Arabidopsis thaliana: one gene and its partner. The protein of the gene in region 1 interacts with the protein of each later gene in a pairwise test. Each region holds a gene or a part of one and is shown on either strand. Other genes may lie near its edges.

What was found.
Region 2: the proteins of AT5G18030 (region 1) and AT1G26660 interact in a two-hybrid assay, tested with the Arabidopsis thaliana proteins (one large-scale study listed by BioGRID).

What each region holds. Positions count from the first base shown.
Region 1 is NC_003076.8:5,966,541-5,969,692, forward strand, and holds AT5G18030 (SAUR-like auxin-responsive protein family), read left to right. Parts: upstream 1-1,811; 5' UTR 1,812-1,986; coding exon 1,987-2,253; 3' UTR 2,254-2,650; downstream 2,651-3,152. Other genes in the region: SAUR20 (SAUR-like auxin-responsive protein family), read right to left, coding at 1-40. UniProt on the Arabidopsis thaliana protein: Functions as a positive effector of cell expansion through modulation of auxin transport.
Region 2 is NC_003070.9:9,210,183-9,214,415, reverse strand, and holds AT1G26660 (Prefoldin chaperone subunit family protein), read right to left. Parts: upstream 2,653-4,233; 5' UTR 2,531-2,652; intron 2,121-2,530; 5' UTR 2,119-2,120; coding exon 2,027-2,118; intron 1,912-2,026; coding exon 1,807-1,911; intron 1,576-1,806; coding exon 1,474-1,575; intron 1,197-1,473; coding exon 1,089-1,196; intron 935-1,088; coding exon 880-934; intron 723-879; coding exon 651-722; 3' UTR 541-650; downstream 1-540. Other genes in the region: AT1G26650 (Son of sevenless protein), read right to left, coding at 3,074-4,081.

The DNA.
Region 1 (3,152 bases):
GAATCTTCTTTGCTCCCAATAGACTTCTCACAAAAGCCATATCTATTGTTTTTGTTTCGAATATTAAATTCTTTAAAATCTTCTGAAGATGTATGAAAAGATTCAAGTTATTGGATTGCTTGTTGTTTGTTGATGATTGAAAGAATGGGTTTATGAGTGTATATATAGAAAGATCAACTACTAATGAGTTGAAACCTCTCTGAAAAAATCATTGAAACTTGTGGTCTTGAAGTGTTGGACAGACTAGAACAGAGAACATGGTTCTGTCTCTACCATTTGGAAAAGATGCATTAATGCAGTTTGTCTTGATGAGATAATTAATTGATTGTGGGACATTAAACTAAAAACAAAATCCATATGCAATTCACAAGGGACTGTTTTCTCAATGTTTTTAGATAAAAGACCAGCAAGTTTCTCTTCTCCATGTTCTGTGATGATCCTATTTTTGATTCTCTGTGGTCTAAATGGATTTAATAACAACTTAAAAGTGGGGACCTGAAGTTTCTCAACAACAGAACAACATGTCTCCATCACTCTTTAAGCTGTTCCTTTTTTATGATATACACAAATAGAACCACACACGAAAATCAAGTAAAAGAATAAAGAAAACATCATCAAAATATATACCCCTTTAGTTTTCTTGCAACAGTATTACAGTAATGAGATCCTCCATGCCTTGCTTGTCTTTGAAGCAACTTAAGTACCTAAGTGTAAACATCGGTGAGAAAATCACTATGATGTTAGCCTTAAGGTCAAGATCAAGAATCTTCATTATTTTAAGCAAATCCTCTTGGTGATAAGGAATGTATTTACACATTATATCTATGACAGCAAGATGAAGTATTTACATTGAATAATCTATCTCTCACTAACTACTGTTAGTTATTCCTTCTTGCGGAACATCTTCATTGAAGCTGAGAAGTCAGATCGATGAAGGTATCTTCAGGACAATGGATTTTTAAGCTAGCCACCCATTGGATGATCGAATCCAAGCTCTTCCTTGGAATTACGGTGAAGAGCTTGAAATGAAGGCTGGTTTAAATATAAGACTGGCACCAAATATCTTTTCTTTTAGACCTGGTCTTCGCCAACGTACACCGCAAGAAACCCCCTTGATGCTGAAACTGGCCTTTTGCTTGTAGCCTCTATAGAAAATCTGATAATTTTCTTTGCACCCAAAAGACCTCTGAACAAAAACATTTCTTGTGTTTGGAAAATCTAAATTTGAAGCTTTAGAGAAAAACCTAGATGCTCAGATTCAAGCTTCGGATTGAATAGTTAGTTCTATCTTTAGATGTATAAATAGATTGATGGACTTCAAACCAACATGGAACATACACAAACAGAGTTACGTTTCACATGATTCTGTTTTCTCCATATTTTTATAATAAATGCAGAGAAGAAAGGAGATATTCAATCCTTTACTTGTAACTGTCATGTGTGGTCCTCCTATTTGAGGATATCAAAAAAGAACAACTTAACCCTAGACAAAGACTTGTTGTTCTATTGTTGAGCTACTTCAGGTCCCAATTTTAAGTTCTTATTAAATTGCACCACAGACATGAGGTAATATGATCATCACAGAACATGAAGGAAAGAAACTTGCTGGGCCTTCTTATTGACAATAGCATGTCTTATCTTAAAAACATTGAGGAAACAGTCCCTTGTGCATATGGAGTTAGTTTTTCGTTTATTGGCCCAAACTCAATTAATTATGTCATCAAGACAAATTTCATTAATGCTTCTTTTCTAGATTGTAAAGACAGAACCATGTGAGCTCTGTTCTAGTCTGTCCCACGCTTCAAGACCACAAGTTTCAATGATTTTTTCAAAGAGGTTTTAACTCCTTCATTGATCTTTCTATATATACACACATAAACACATTCGTTCTATCATCAACCAACAACAAGCAATATATCCAATAACTTGAATCTTTTCATCCATCTTAATAAGCTTCAAAAACCTTTTCGTACAAAAATAACAGATATGGCTTTGGTGAGAAGTCTATTGGGTGCAAAGAAGATTCTAAGCCGCTCCACCGCATCGGCGGCACCAAAAGGGTTTCTTGCGGTGTACGTAGGAGAGAGCCAGAAGAAGAGATATTTGGTGCCGCTCTCATACTTGAGCCAACCTTCATTTCAAGCTCTTCTCAGTAAATCCGAGGAAGAGTTTGGATTTGATCATCCAATGGGTGGCTTAACGATCCCTTGTCCTGAAGATACCTTCATCAATGTGACTTCTCGGCTCCAATGATCATGATGATCCGACATTTGGTTCTTCTGAGTTAGAGATAGACTTGATCCTTGTAAATAGATGATTTTTTTCTTTCCTTTTTCTCTTTCTTCTTGAAAGAGTTGTTCTCAAAGTTTTGAAAGTGGATGCCATTTTTTATTCAATAGACACGAGATCATGGTCCATGTTAATACATTTTGGATCGATTACCGGAAAAATAAAGGACAACGCCGACTGAATAACTATTTTAATTATACTTTCTAAAATCAAGTGAGAGCATTATTAATCTTCTTACCCACTGTCTTAATTTAGAAAAATTCTTTCTAATTCACTTTTCACACTATCTCTTTTCAATTTTACCCTTTTCTATTTACTATTTTCATTTATACCCTCTTTAAATTTTAATGACCATTTTACCCCTATTTGTAAATTGATTTAGGTTAATAAAATGAAGTATTAATATTTTTCGCCTAAAACATTCTAAAATAAAATTTCCCGCCAAAAAATTTCGGGAAAAAACTTCCCGCCAAAAATTTCGTGAAAAAAATTTCCCGCCAAATTTTTTTTTCAAAAACATTTTTCCCGCCAAAAATTTCGGAAAAAAAATCCCGCTAAAAATTTTCTCTGAAAAAAATTTCCCGCCAAATTTTTTTTCGAAAATATTTTCCCGTAAAATTTTTGTTTTTGGCAGGAAATAGATTTACAAGGGATTTTAAAAGGGTTTTAAAAGATTTACAAGAAATTTTAAAAGGGTTTAAAAGATTTACAAGAGATTTTAAAAGGGTTTAAAAGATTTACAAGAGATTTTAAAAAGGTTTTAAAAGATTTACAAGAGATTTTAAAGGGCTTTAAAAGACTTACAAGAGTTTTTAAAAGATTTTTAAAGGGTTCGAAAGTGTTTTAAAAGATTTACAAGGGAT
Region 2 (4,233 bases), on another chromosome or scaffold:
ATCAAACGAAAATTCTTCAGAAACCTTATTCAATTGGAGTGGATTTTGGTATCCAAATTTCTAATTTTAGATGCAAATTCCACAAAAACGCCCAGATCAAGAATAACGATAACAATAACAATTAGCGTAGAATGAAGATCCGTGACTTACCTACAACAGAGATGCGTTTGGCGAGAGTGAGGTGGAGATTCTCCGGACGAATTAGGTTTTCCTCCGAGCCTTACCGTGAAAACCGAAAAGGGACCGACGAAGACAGGGAAGCGGAAGATATTTGGACACTTTGCTGACGTGGAATATCATTATCTTGTATCTGTTTCGTTCATACTTTTATTTCATTCTTCATCAGCTGTGTTAAACTGTTAATGATCTTCTAAGTTCTAACATGTGATTATTAATATTTAAAATAGAAATGGCAGATTTAACAGAGTGCGATTCACTATTCACCCCCACAACAATAGTCATTCTATAAAGTTTTGATTGCTTAATCGATATGTTTATCTAACACCAACAGTTTGGTCCATTCCGGAGAAAGAGTTAGTATTGAACAAACTAAGTTAATTCTCTGCTTTAAAAACTCAAAACAGTAAGCAGAACAAATCGAGAAGATAAGACTGCAAGAGAAAATCCTCAACTTTCCACTAGGTAGTGTACTAAAACGCACGTTGCCGGGATGACGGATTCTCTTCAGGAAGATTGAGTATTTGCTGAATCTGGTAATGAGCCTGCAATGGTAATTTAACATTAATACTTATCCGATGACACTTTCATATATCCGTCTGATGCAGGGTTCCTACGCAATAGTGATTTTCTAGTCCAATTCAACCTCATAAGACAAATGATTGACTACTATCACAAAGCAAGATAAGAACTTGAACTTACCAGTTTGATGCGCCCTTTGATCTGCGTAATAACACCAGTATACTCTTCTAGTTGTCTGTTAAAAACAAAAAAAACCACATTTATATTGCATCAACATTCAGTCACTATACTGCATTCCACCGGAGAACTCATTCATCATATACAATGATACAACCATATTTTCCTTGTACATGGAGCAAGAAAACTAGAAAAGCAAAGATTTCTCTTACTTTTGAGTTCTTTCCTCCCTTTGTGCTATATAGTCAAGAGCTTCTTGCCGTGTGAACTCCACATAAAAGCCGAGGCCTACATCCATGAATATGTGCCGAGTATCTGGCCTGAACTCAAACAAACACCCAAGTCAAGTGAAACGAAATCAGAAGCAAACCTGGTAGAAAGCATCTCCTATTTTAATCCCCATTTATTAAACGTTTTCTGCTCAATAATACATAACTAGCTTCTAACATACAGAACACAGTAAAAGCACACTTCTTAATTGCATTAAGCTGTGTATGGAGACAGTGTATTTCATTGTATGCAGACAATGCATGACCTTTCATAGCTAAATGACTTGACTAAAATTAAACGAAAGAACCAAAGCTATAAGTAACGTACACTTCAGCTTGCATGTAAACTTCTGAACCAAGGTTGACCCTTGTTTTGAGACTATTTACACCATTCTTCTCCAGAGTTTCTAGGTTTTTCCGCAAGTCAGAGCTGGAGTGGGAGTAACCGTCAAGGAAACAAGAATATTTCAACCGAATTAGATTTCACTAGAACAGCAAAGTATTGTCAATAACTACACCAAGAAGAGTTCCTCTCGATTTAGAAACACAAAACTAAGTCAAAAACTGACTGGTAAATGAACCCGTCATCTTTGATAGGGTTAAGACATGGGAGAAACTAACAAAACACTTAGGATCAGCTTAACAAGATGATGCACATCACGAGAAGCTAGAGTCTTCCCTATACAAAAGGATACAGTGTTTTTTGTTCTTCAAAGATCTTGTCCCTGCAAAACCAACAAATGCAGAGACCACAATGAATCGAAACCTCAAACAAAAAGTGAATAGCATGCAAAGAAAACAAACTAAACTAATCCTACATACACTTTAATATCATACTCACAATTTTAATTTTGATCTGAAAAGGAAGTAAATATAAATACCGTGAAGCAGTTGCATGTACAAGCTTCTGTTTCAAACCTTTGTCGATAATCTCCTCCAACAATTGCAAGTCTTTTTGACGTCCCTCCTCCATTACTGCAATGCGAACATAAACATATCAAGCTTAAGGCTCTAACCATCCCCTTGTTTATTTGATAAACTTAGTCCAGAATAAGTTTCTAGAGCCTTGAAATGTTCGTTTCAGAATCTAGAGTCACCTAACCATCAATATCTAAATACAAGCTCGGAGAGCGTCGAAACTATACAGAAATTGCATCAAACTAATACGTAGAAGCATTTCATCGAACAGGTGGTGAACATCCCCAAGAGAGAACACAAACCACGTAACTACACTTTAAATATGAGAATCAAATTGGTTTCCAAACGAAACCCTATCAAAAATACATTCAAATACAGAGAATCCAACTCGATAAACGAGAAGGAATCTGAAAATCACAAAATTAGAGGTACAGATAACAGCAAAGGTCCAAGAGTATTTGACTCACGAGTCACGAGCAAAGAGATGAAATAGGTCCAGACACGTCACGACCGAACGACGGTGATTCTTTTGGTGACAGTGATGTTGAACGACGGTGGTTGTGACGGCGAGTGGCGACGCCGCGACGGTGAGGGAGACGAAGAATTATTTGGTGGTTTTACAATTTGACCGCTCGAGCACAGATTATTTAAACCATGCGAACCGGTTTGTTCTTACTTTTGGTTTTAATTTCAAGTCCTTTGTAATATAATTACCTTGCATAAAGGCCCACCTACTTTTTAATTTTACTATTTTACGCCCAAGATTTTCAAGACTCAATCAAACTGGCTAAAAAGAAACAAGAGCAGAACTATGAACGAACTTGGGATGCTATATAATCTTCAAACAATGTAAACAGAGAAACCATATATAACAAAAACCTTAAAGATGCATCAAGTTTCAAAGTGAAACAAAAAGTGCTCAATAAAACCCCATTTGATGATATACAACTTCTTCTTCAGCTAATACGTTTCCATGTCCATTCACCGAGTTTGATCCGCACAACGCACCATTACTCAGCATCCACAACCGTAACCGTTTCCATGATTGGCTGAGTTTCACCTCTAGAAGCTTCCATACTATAATAAACTCGGCAGCTAAAATAGAACACTGCACTCATCATCGAATCTATAAGTGTCACAAAGGAATACATCAACACCAAAAGAGGTCCTTCCCATAACCTCGAAGAGCCATCTCCATAACTAACTTTCTTCACTCTGTGATCAAACAATCCTTCCACAAACGCCAATCCTAAAGTTGATCCAAGGAACATCAACAAACCAACCTGAATCTGCCCTTTGATCAAATCACTAGCTCTCATCAATGCTCCTAACCCTGAAACATCTTCCAAAACCGAGATCACAATCGCAGTGTTGCAGATTATAATCGCGTTAGCGAAAACTACAGAGAAGGCTAAACCAACTAGCATAGCTCCATAAACATTGAAATCTGGAGAGAAGCCGAGAACAGAGAAGGAACTGCAGATTGCTACAAGAAGAACGCAAAAGAAAGTGAAGCAACCAACAATCAGAATGCAAATCCAAACGTAAGTGAACACAACTCTCCTCCATATCTTCTGCAATATAACCAAGAACTTGCTTATATCAACTACTTCCCTCGAGTAAGAACAATCCACTGAGTAAACCACAGCTGCTTTAGACAACAGAGACACAGTGATAAACACAGGGAAACACATTGCAGACGAAACAGCAGTTTCAGCGAATTTCTGACAAGAATGTTTGACAAAAGGCTGCAAAGGAAGACCACTTGATTTCGCCACTAAAAGAAGCTTCACTGTGAGTTTATTCACTAATGATTGATCAACTAAAAAGTTTGGTAAGAGCAAAGCAGAGACAGGACAGATCAAAACAGCAGTAGTTAACATTAAAGCACCAAGATTGTACCGGAGAATTCGAACTGTTTCTCTTAAGATCTCTAACGCATTTGAGGAGTGAAATTGTTTGTGACTGTATGATTTTAGCTCCGGTTTCCGTAAAACCTGATTCGTTTCCGTCTCCATGTTTCCGAGAGTGAAGTGTGTTTTAGCTGAGTTCGAGATTACATACCATAAAGGTTGATTTCACAAGCAGCGGAGATAGAAATCGAAGCAAAGAGAAGATCTTTCAGATAACCCAGGAATCAAATTGAAAAAAAAAGACGAATCTTGGAACG